Schizosaccharomyces pombe: one gene and its partners. The protein of the gene in region 1 interacts with the protein of each later gene in a biochemical or structural test. Each region holds a gene or a part of one and is shown in the gene's direction. Other genes may lie near its edges. The genes, in order: cnp3, moa1 and csm1.

What was found.
Region 2: the proteins of cnp3 (region 1) and moa1 form a complex in vitro, tested with the Schizosaccharomyces pombe proteins (one study listed by BioGRID).
Region 3: the proteins of cnp3 (region 1) and csm1 form a complex in vitro, tested with the Schizosaccharomyces pombe proteins (one study listed by BioGRID).

What each region holds. Positions count from the first base shown.
Region 1 is NC_003423.3:4,125,661-4,130,449, reverse strand, and holds cnp3 (centromere protein), read left to right. Parts: upstream 1-1,783; 5' UTR 1,784-1,881; coding exon 1,882-1,958; exon of another isoform or gene 1,959-2,038; coding exon 2,039-2,346; intron 2,347-2,453; coding exon 2,454-3,881; intron 3,882-3,961; coding exon 3,962-4,080; 3' UTR 4,081-4,132; downstream 4,133-4,789. Other genes in the region: mrpl44 (mitochondrial 54S ribosomal protein mL53), read right to left, coding at 4,192-4,304, 4,378-4,567.
Region 2 is NC_003424.3:3,728,016-3,731,092, reverse strand, and holds moa1 (meikin), read left to right. Parts: upstream 1-2,058; coding exon 2,059-2,577; downstream 2,578-3,077. Other genes in the region: NatA N-acetyltransferase complex catalytic subunit Naa10, read right to left, coding at 102-189, 393-449, 497-599, 915-1,109, 1,196-1,286; retromer complex subunit Vps29, read right to left, coding at 2,989-3,077. UniProt on the Schizosaccharomyces pombe protein: Plays an important role in chromosome segregation during meiosis I by allowing meiotic rec8 to establish cohesion at the centromeric central core and thereby promote the side-by-side structure of kinetochores at meiosis I.
Region 3 is NC_003424.3:5,284,280-5,287,947, forward strand, and holds csm1 (microtubule-site clamp monopolin complex subunit Csm1/Pcs1), read left to right. Parts: upstream 1-1,830; 5' UTR 1,831-1,850; coding exon 1,851-1,902; exon of another isoform or gene 1,903-1,941; coding exon 1,942-2,283; intron 2,284-2,329; coding exon 2,330-2,542; exon of another isoform or gene 2,543-2,597; coding exon 2,598-2,776; 3' UTR 2,777-3,011; downstream 3,012-3,668. Other genes in the region: Munc family exocytic/endocytic regulator Ync13, read right to left, coding at 1-1,291, 1,338-1,420; ubiquitin-conjugating enzyme Ubc13, read right to left, coding at 3,105-3,277, 3,335-3,419, 3,572-3,668. UniProt on the Schizosaccharomyces pombe protein: The monopolin-like pcs1/mde4 complex is essential for accurate chromosome segregation during mitosis and meiosis II. May clamp together microtubule binding sites on the same kinetochore, preventing merotelic attachment of microtubules.

The sequences.
Region 1 (4,789 bases):
AGGGGCACACATTGGCGGCAACCCGAATGGAATACAAAAAATGCAAATTTTGATTTCAATCGACCAATGCTATAAATGAAAAAGACAAATAAAATCGAATCATATAAAAAAACAGAATAAATAATGAGACAGACAGTGGAAATGATCCAGCGGCATCGAGAATTTAAAAAATCGGCTCTTCTCTAATAGTATCTTTTTGCATTTGCAACGGAGCGCATATTACAAATCTAAGGTTGAATACTAATTATTACGAATAATAAGCTATAAAACTATTTTTTTTGGAAATAAACAGCTATTTAGATTAGAGTACATGAGTACTACTGTTAGTAAACAAAACGACATTCACTCTCTATATTTATGGCAAATTTTTAACAGCTAATTTTAACAATTTCTTGAGTTGCCACTCAAAGTATAAAGAGATATGCCTTCTTCGATTTACTTGTTGAAACTACCAATTTAAATAATAGCTGCTAACGGCTTCTAGTGATATTCCTTAAACGGCAATCGCCATTTTAAGGAAGAAAGGCCAATTGGTCGCACTAATAAGGACCTGATTTGAAGCCGCTGTAAAATAGGGTTTTCCCTTTTTTGCTGAGTTCGCGTGAAGGTTGTAGGCGAAATAAAGTGACAATATACATTCAAAATACAGACTTCATTATGGGAACTTTCATTTTCTTTATAGTGGTAGCAGGATAACCTAGCCTTTGTGTATAAGGTGATATCCTTTTACAGAGGTTAGCTATGGATTCTTGTAATACAGCCAAAAGTACGTACATAAATTTTGAGTAAAAAATTCGGGTATGGTTGAAGGAGGCGTAAACGGAAGCATTTTCTTGGCGTTAATTGAACATGTTTCGCACTTTAGTCTTCTTACTATGTCATGAAAAGAGCTATTTTAATTATTGTACGGGGTGGCTTGCTAAATATTGATCTGCTAGATATAAAATTAATAAATAAATAATAAAATAATAAAAAATTTTGTAAAAAGAGAAGCGAAAAACCAAACCGACTTAACTTTTTGTAAATAAATATATTTAATTTTATTTACTTTTGAATTTTTTTTTCAGCCCTATTCAAGATCAATTGACCCCTTTTTTGGCAAAATTTCACCATTGCTGAGATTTCGGCATCAGAAAATTTTCACATACTATGGTGAAAAAAAGAAAACAGTCAAGGCGTAGCATCGCAAATTTGGATTCATACAAGAAAAAAAATCTCGTCAGCAATACGCTTAATAACACCGACTGTAATAAATAATGGTGGTTTAGCACTAATATAATCGTAAGTTAATAAACAATCATCAATTGGATGGCCAAGCCAGAAGAAATCCCAAAAATAAAAAAATTATAAAAAATGATAAATCTATTTTTAATCTCTTAAATTGTTATTGCGGTAGGCCGTTTTTTTGAATGTCAATTGCTCAATCCGTCTTTTCCACTATTTGGGTTCATCCCTTGGTAGCGGCTACTTAATATGCTTCTAGGTAGGGTTCATTTCTTCTCTGGAATTCCCTTTCTGACCTTCATTCTAAGGAGGCATGTTTGTTTCTGTTTACCGTAATCTACGCTGTCAGCACTAGTAAGTTTCATTTCCAACGCAATTTCGTATTTGTTTGCCTAACATTATATAACTATAAAATGCATTCAGAAAAACAGAAAAGCGCTTAGGCAATTAAGTTTATATGTATTGGTTAGTTATACTGGAAGCAAAAATGAATACACCTTGCCTTTTCGCATGGGTCTGATTGATAGGCTTATTCCATGACACATAATGTACATCCTGTACTACACGTAAACAAGAAAGACAACACTTACGTCCCCATATATTGTTTTGTTTGGCTATTTAGGCTATATTTTTACTTAATGTTTATTTAATAGAATAATGACGATGAATGAAACGTCTGCTATTCCGGCAAGACAACGAGAGAATCAGTTTTTTGAAATTGGTGTCGTAGGCAGGTACGTTCGCGAATTGGGTTCCATATATCGTAATAATTATTCTTTTTTTAATAAATTTACTAAAAAATATTTTTATCTAGAAAAACAGGATTCACAGTTCCCAGAGACGTTAAAAAAGGCGATGATGGATTCGAGGATATGGATGCTTATTTTCTTTCCGACGGTTCCATCCATTTGGACGAAGATAATGGAGACATTGAGCAGGATATGCCGCCAGTAACAAGACTTCAACCTACGTCTCCAATGGCAGTCAATGCTGCTTCTGATGAAGCTTCTCATGCCTCATCTTCTGACTCTAGTGATAAAAACCCGGATATTCCTTCTTCACCATTGTTGATGAATTCGAGAGCTCTTCGGGCTAGCCGTGGTTCGTCTGGTCCTTTAATTGGTAAGGTTCTATCTACGCATCACAGATTTTTATTTTACAACTCCTCAAATACTCTACTGTTACTTTCCGTTTCATTTCATTGATAAAATTACTAATTATACATACAGTACCTATAGATCACTCAGCTTTTCAAGCGGAAGATGAAGGAACCGCTGATAAGACGAAAGTCGATGGCAACAAATTATCAATTCAGCCAAGAAAAGCAAATCGAATTGTCGATTTTTCTAGGATAAAAGCATCTCCAGATAGAAAAAAATTCGAACCTCGAAGAAGTACCGAACTTCCTTCCAAAATACCATCCTCTACGCCCAAGGATGATAACGTTCAAGAATCGCCTGCATTCCCCGATGAAAATATTACTGCTTTACAAAAAAATGTAGCGAATTTTACTAGTATCAAGGATAGTGGTGGTCGCGATAATCTTTATATACAAACCATTTCAAAACCCCGTAGAAGTTATGTTCAAAATAATAAGTCAGAACAGACGATTAAGCCTTCTAAACAGAATAAGCAAAAAGAGGAAAAGAAAACAATATCCCAGGGCAACAAACCAAATTCTAGAGATGAAGATTCCGAACTTTCTATCGATGTCCCGCTTTCTATGCTTAATCGAAGCCTAGCAAACAATTCTCAAAAGAATAAGAAAAGAACACCTAATAAACCTTTACAAGAATCAAGCATAAATTCTGTTAAAGAAGGGGAGTCAAATCCAGTAGTCAAGAGAAAACGTGGTCGACCTCGTAAGAACAAATTAGAAATCGGCAATTCTGTTCAAACTAGTGAGGCTACACAAGTTAAAGGCGCAAAGAAACCTGCAATTAGAAACGCGAAGAAGATGTCCAACGAGAAGGATGACTCATTGAATTCACAATCAGATTCAGCTTCTGGAGAATTTATTAAAACAATTGCTCGAAATAATTTACAGGAAATTAAACAGGTCGAACGTGAAGATACACTAGTTGGTGTCCGAAGGTCGAAACGTACACGAATAGCACCACTAGCATTTTGGAAGAATGAGCGTGTTGTATATGAATTACATAGAGATGAAAATCGAATTCCAGCACTACCGGAAGTAAAGCAGATAATCCGAGTTGACGATCCATCACCTTCAATTCGTCAAGGTCGCAAGAAAAGGCATGCAAAGCGCTCAGGAGTTGAAATAAAAAGTAACTTGGAAGCAAAATCGAATGATGTTGAAGAATATGATGCTTTTTACAAAGACGAAATAAACTGTGAAGTTCTATCTTGGAATGAACAAAACCCAAAAGCCTCTGAAGAACGAGTAGTCGGCTATTCATTGCCTTCTGTAAATCTCCAGCAAATCTCTAATCAACAACTAAAATTTGCCAGCTTGTTCAAGGAGGAGCCATCTTTTGCTGCTGGCGTCGTTGAAATGCCAGCAGGAGCAGAAAAACCAGTGAAGCCTTCGAAACACAACATAATGTCTTTTTGTATACTACAGGGAAAGATCGAGGTCACAGTAAATGCAACCACTTTTCGAATGAAAAAAGATGGAGTATTTATTGTTCCAAGGGGTAAGTTTAAATATACACATTTCTAAAAATTCAAACAGGAATTATACACCGAGAATGTGTTTTGACTAACATTGCTTTAGGGAATTATTACAGCATAAAAAATATCGGCAAAGAAGCTGTTCGACTTTATTATACCCATGCGACCGACACCTTGGAAAATAAAAGAAGGGGAATAGGGGATTTTCCAAACGAACGATGACAATACTAATAGTGTGTTATGGATTTCGATGTACAAAAGTCATTTAGTCGTTATGTAATTTAATTATCTGTTATCAATTTAATCATATTAATAAAGTCATTTTTTCTAAACTTATTTTTGCATCATTTCCTTAAATTTAAGCGTTTTACTGTAATCGTCAATTAATTCAGTTAGCCTACCAATATTCATTTTTGTCGGATCAACAGTCAACTTTTTTCCATCCTCTAAATAATAATTATTAGCAAAAGTCAAATCTAACGGTCGCAGTTAAACCATCTAGCTACTTAAAAGCCTTACTGTATACAACTTCAACAGATGGTTTTGAATTGGTATCCTTTGATGCAAGACTGGTAATGAGATTAAGTCCATAAAGAGAGTTGCTGGTTTCTTTACTGGCAACTGCTAGCAAAAGTTTCGCAGATTGACTAGCTTTGGAAAACGGGTTCACATTCAAAATTGACAATTTATTAATGTACCCAAATATCATGATTAAAAATTTTAACTGGAGAGTAAAGTCGTCAAGGAATGTAATTAAAAGAGATCTTTATGTGTAGATATTTTAAATACATTAAATGGTGGTAAGTTTTGTAAACGAAATGACATTTGGTAAGCTAGGTGACCGTTACCCTGATAGTCTCACTTCCTACAACAACTAAGTCAACTTGGAGATACAAACGAAACTAGTATGTCTCTATAATACAATTTGTCA
Region 2 (3,077 bases), on another chromosome or scaffold:
GCGAGTACAATCAAATGTTAAATACGCTATCACGAAGTTATAACTGCAGTATCGTACACTACACCCTAATTCACTAATTAGAAATAACGGTATATATTTTATTAGTTGTTCAATGCAAGAGATTGAACGGTTTTTGCTAGTTCGTCGTTGGTTTCTGGTGTATCGAATTTCAAAGTAGAAAAATCTTTGCTAAAAATTGTTAGTAACCTAGATAGTTGTGATGACGTTGAACAGTCATATATTGTCTGAAACAACGTAGGTAATTATACAGAAGTTGACCAAACTAAAGAAAGAACGATTGTCACAAAGATTGTATATAGTTTTTGGAAAGAATACTCATTAAACGATCCATGCAACCATCCCCAACCTAGTTTTTACAACAAAGTACTTACTGCATAGCATAAGCATCTTCACCATCAGCATAATATTTGCTTTCAATCCCTTGAACGCTAAAATAATGTTAGAATCTCTTCAATGATGGCGAGTAAAAACATACTCAAATTGCAAAGTATCACGATAAAGATGAATAGCAGCTCTGTTGCTTTTACGAACATGAAGACTCATATATTTGGCGCCATAAACTTCGACCATGGCTCTTTCTGTTCATTTAAGTAGTTAGTATCTTTTACTTTTTTTAAAAAAATTTTGTTTAAGGAATGGACCGAAAATATCAAGGAATCAGCAGGAAGGAAACATTGTCGAAAACAAATTAGGTAAAAAAAATGAATTGTTGCAAGGAAAAAACCAACTCACCAAATGAACAATTCAAAGTATTAGCAGACCAAGTCTTGCACAAAATAAAATATATACATATTGGAATAATCATCGATAACAACTGCAAAAAAGCTTAAGATTTCCCTCTAGCTCCTCCTTGGATATATCCGTAATCTACTTCGCTCTCAATTAACACTTACGACTTTGAACCATGAGACGTTTAGCAAGTCCTAGATGACGATAGGAGCGCATTACTGAGACACTTGTGATATGACCATGAGGGATCCCATCCTTAGGCTCTTCTTCCATTTTTGCAAGAACATATCCTACGACACGTCCTTTCGGATCAGTAGCAACATAAGAAAGCATAGGCCAAGAAATAGCATGATAAAGGTCTACATTAAATTAGAAAATAAGAATCATTGTTTTAATACTGGAAGTTCATTGCCGTGCAGCAAGAATTACAATGAATTGAACTTACAATATTTTAACTGATAATTTTCAGGCAAGTTATGTAAGTTGCAGTTCTGCATCCCAGTAAGGTCACTTATACGAGCTGGCCGAATATCCATCTTGCCAATCGTTTAATTTTTAGCAATATCTATGATTTTTGTTTGTTAGTGGTTGGAATCAAATTTCCAGCATACCATATTTTAAGAAAGCGCAGTGAATGTAAAACGAAATTCAGGGAATGCAAAGCAACTACTGCAAAGCTTTTAGAAATGATAAGATTCATTTGATGTTAATATTATCTGTCAAGTATTTTAACGTCAAATATTTACTGCTTTGCTAAAAAAACTATGTTTTTTGGAGACTCACAATGTTCGACGTTAAGCTCCTTTTAAGTTACAAGCCGTTTAGTACACATTGCATAACCAAATTTCTAATTACTTAATGTTGCGTTTCCTAAGTTGTTTTGATTTTCAATGCAGATGATGAGAAATCCTTATTATAAATAGACAATGATGTTTACGATGGATTGCACACTTAAAGACATTAAATCAAAACTTTATATTAATTAGCCATTAATTATATAATCTAAGTTAATACTTATAATCACCATAACATATTTTGTTTACTGTGGAATCAAAAAGGATTAGCGATGCTTGATTGAATCCTTTATTATCTTAAAGTCACACTACCTTGGTTTTCCTTTAAAAGTTTTAACAGCAGCCTTGTGGTTTCACTTAGGCTAAGTAAACTCAACGAAAAAACATTAAGATTTGTTATTCGTAAATTCAGCTAGTAGACCTCGAACATTAGGTTTTCCCATTGGTAAAAATGTAAACAAAACCGCATTAATCATATAAAACATTAAGCGAAAAAAAACAATAGATTGCATTTATGGCTATAAATAATGAAAACGAATTAGAGTATAAATTAATAAAAAAAAACAAGAATCCTAAAATATCAAATTCAAAAAAAAAGAATTCGACACGTCCAGCTTTACAAGACAAAACTAATCAAACATTACCAATTCATCAAAATCAAGCCTTTTCAAACATTCTTCCATCTGATTTTTCAATAATTAAGACACCTGAGACAAAAACTGCTGACGATTTCCCCGTAAATGGTTACGAAGGCTTAAACATTTTAAAATTTGATCTCGAGTTATTTTACAAACTTAAACCTGTAGCAACGTCGACCCCGAAGTCTTGCATGAGGACGGGCTCCAATTTATTTTTAAATGAAACTGTTAAACATGTTCCAGATGAACGGTTAGTTTCAAACATCAAGAATACCCAAACAAAGGACTCTATCACAAGAGATTCTGCGTATTATCACAGAAAAACTATGACAGAAAGCATAATCAAAACACTCGCTGCATTTGATGCTGAGGTTGATGAGATTATATTGTTTTAAATCTCTAACTGACACTGGAATATAATCGTACTTTTCAAGTACTAACGCATCTATTTTTCATATGATATATTTATTAAAAAAGATTTACAAACCTGCTTTACAAATCAACCTTGACTACGATTTTATTTATACATATCGATCAGGACAAACGATAGCATGTTCAACAATATTTGACGCGAAAGGCCGACAAAGAAAAGTGGATAAAGTCAGCGCATAAATTTAACCTTCAAACATTTCTTTCATTTTAAAAAAGCAAGTAAGGAAAGCACATACTTTTCGGTAGTCTACATACTCGGTAAATTAAGATACGGATTATGCTATAATAAACAGAAAAACATCTAATTATCATTTAACACTTCTTTACGATGAAAAGACCGCATATTCCGTGGTTCAATCGTATATTTCATGAGATTATTCTGGTTTTCTGTACTGCATTTTTTCAACCCGGACCTCTCCATCAAAAATCCTATAAACATAAAGTATTAAAACTGCTCCTTGAA
Region 3 (3,668 bases), on another chromosome or scaffold:
CAAATCTAAAAGTGATTTCTTTAAAAGTTGAGCTAATGCATTTCTGATTCCAAACAATGCAGAACTAAAAATTGAAACATCGATCTTTGGCCAATATGTTATCTCCCATTCTTTGAGTGACTTATGAAGCTCACCGAAATGTGTCAAAACGTCTGCTGAAGTTATCAACCCTTTTTGTAAATGTTCGCGTGCAAAATCCATACTCAAAGCACAGCGAGTGGATGGCAATATTCTCCAGTAAATGGAGCACTCCCTTATAAATGTGTTTATTTGCTTGACTTCAACAGGATCTGTAACTTGTAATCTGTATTCAAGACATAGCGATAGAAGTTGCCGAAAGTAAGGCCGCGCTATTGGCGGCACGTATGTCGGCGTTTTTCTACTGGCAGGAAAACCAATCGGTTGAATAGGGTGATTTGGTGATGAAGAAAGAGGAATCAAACTTAACATGATTTTACGATGTTGTTCTAGTGTTTGAAGTTCACGAGCTTTCCAAGTGGAGTATGATTTATAATTAGAAAAATCGACCACCGAATGCGAAAATTTACAAGCATCACTTTCTAAATCCTCAATTAAAATGCCAATATCTTCAGCTATGGCGGCCTCATCTATTGAGGGAAATAATTTTTCAGCATCCAACAATGCTTTTGAATAAGCAACCTTGAATACTGACGAAAAAACTTTTAACAAAGGAAAAGATGAAAGGTCAAATTGATCTTGTCCTCTATTAACGCGTTTTGTACTCAGTATTTCACTTTTGTTGAGAAGCTTTGAGTGATACATGTCAAGATGGGATACAAATTCAGATGATGGGGAAGCCAATTGGCCTTTAAGCGTGACTCTTTTGCATAACTCAATAAAGGAAGCAGTAATTCTGTCTGCTAAATTTGAATCGTAAGCTGTTCCCAAACGTTTAGTAAGTTCAGATGAAACAGAGCTGGCAAAAATCAAAAACATATCCTCAATTTTCCTCGAGTCTTTTAATTGCTTAGATATATGAGATTTGTTTATGTTATTGTAAAATGCTGCGAAACATCCTCTGATCAACTGATCTTGATATTCTGGCTCTTTTCCCATACTAATACTCTCAAGGGCAAGCGATAAATATTTTATAAAATCCTTGGGATATTTTGGATTATCTTTTTTTTCTTTGGCAGAAAATAGACTACCAGAAAATGCCCCATTGGTCTTTTTCTCAACTGGTGTACTAAATGATGATGTCTGCAGAGCTGAAGGGGTAGATGCACGATACTGTACTAAGAACAGGATTAACACATTCTTTAAAGTCCAGCTAAATACGTTGGTTAATTAAAATGAAAAGTAATGAAATAACAAACCTATAGAGCTCATCTTTACTTATAGACTCTGCAGCTTGAACTTCGTTCGAGTGTAAAGGAAGAGGTTTTCGTCTACAATTCATCCCATTTAGAAAATAAAATGAAGATATTTAATTTAGTTTCTTTGCAGGTTAAGCAACAGGATCGAAGGATATATAATAGCCTAGAGAATGTATTGAGTGGGAGAAATATGGTGAGATAGGCGGAGGTGTAATCGGAAATCTATGACAGAGAAGAATTAAAGAAACATGATTTTACTATGAAAGACTTGGTAGCTCATCTGTTAAAAATATTAAATTAGTAGGCAATAATGCAACTTGTATTTGGAATCAAGCTAACTGCATAATTTCTGCTTAATCCAAAGAATCCACCGTCTAAGACGGTCAAAATAAAGTGGCTTCAAGGACTATATTGAAAGAAATATAAAACAGTTATTATGATATATTTTAGATTTATTTAATGTATTTGCACACCAGGATCAATTATTAATGTTAACACTATCCACCACAAAGTATGAGAAAAAATAATATGCAAACATCTAAAGATAGTGAACTAAAAGAACAAGGTATATTTATTCTGTGTAGATTAAGCTGACATATCAAAGCTAAAGGAAAATCGTCCAAGCTTATTCATAAATTACCAAAACAGCGTACACGCATCTCTCAAGGACAAATGCATTCAACTCAGGATTTTGTTAATAATGAAGATCAAGATGCATATAGTGTAAGGGAGAACGAAAATGAACTTCATATCAATAATTCCGGGATGTCAGAGTTGAATAAGAAGTTGCAACTCCCTAACGTAGAGTTATCTACTCTTTCGCACACCCAAGAGCAGGAATTCAATGAACTGAACAAGCTGATACGAAAAATTAATGAACTACAAGAATTTTATTTACTTGAAGATTTGGCAAAACCTGTTACCAATGCTGGCGCTGACGCTGATGGTAAGACTAAGGCCTATTTCTGAATTTTTTACTTACATTCAAGAAGACACAATAGTCAAAGATTTAAAAAAAGAACTAGAAAATGAAAAGAAAGCTAACCATTCGTTAAAGAATGAGTTATTGAAAACTCGAGAGCAAATAAAAAACTATTCAAAAATTAATATACTTATAAAGGAGCTTTTCGGATTAGAAGTTGCAGACTGTATAGAGGACGAGGATGGATATCGTTTCAACTGTAAAAACACTGGAAGGAGAGGGAGTAAGTGCTTTAAGGGATTTAGAAATAATTTCAAGCTAACAGGATATTATTATAGCACTCGAATATCAGCTCTTGTTAGATGATCAAAACTTTACATTTACTCCACGTCTGAATGTTCAAACTGATGAGGAGCTTATGAAACATTTACCAGACTATTTGTTGGAGGAAATTATCTTTACGAAAGAACAAGGAAAATTATTTTCTGCTAGATTAATGAAAGCTTTGCAAGATTAACAATAATAACTATGGATTTTGCTTAAACTTTAATACTTCCTTGTTATATGAATAGCACTATATCTTAAATTAATTGTGCTCGTCGAGATATCACTTTTTTCATCGTCCGTCAAAAGCTGCGATGTTTGTATTCTGCTACCATAATTATCTATTATTAATTTTTACATCTTTTATTCGAAAAGACCTTAACCGCTTAGGAAAAAATTGAATGCAAAAAACTTAAGGAAATGGGTAGAATTCAAATCAAAGACTGTATATAGAAAGCTATTGATATCGTAATATATTATTATTCTAGTGATAACCATAAGCATTGGACTATCATAAGTAATCAAACTGCATACTTTTTCGTCCATTCACGGGCATTTGCAATTGCCTGTGGCTCATTTTCTTTCCAAATCTTTGCAACATCATTGTCTAAAGGGTCATCTGGGTTGGGAGCACCCATTAATGCCTGTATCGAAAGTAGCACGGTTCGAATTTGTAAAGCAGGACTCCAATCCTCTGATTTATTAATGTTAGTACACCAAAATAAGATGAAACGTGTGAAGTTTAACATACTTTTTAACGTAGATAAACATATGCGACCTAATTTATCAACGTTTGGATGATAAATTTTAGTAAGAAAACGAACATTGGGAGGCATCTAATAGTTGTTAAAACTCAAATTACACAATTATACAATTTTTTGAAGACAGTTTGAAACTGACAATGCCATTCTTCAAATTTTTGTTGAACTAGCAGGGCTAGCAAAAGGACCATGGTAGGCTCAATACTGTGTTTTCAAAAAAAACCTACCATTGGATACTCATCAGGAAGAAACAGCTCTAAGTGAAATTTTCCACCTTCATAAGCTGATTGCTGAGGCCCTTCCATAGTAATTTTAAAATAGCGA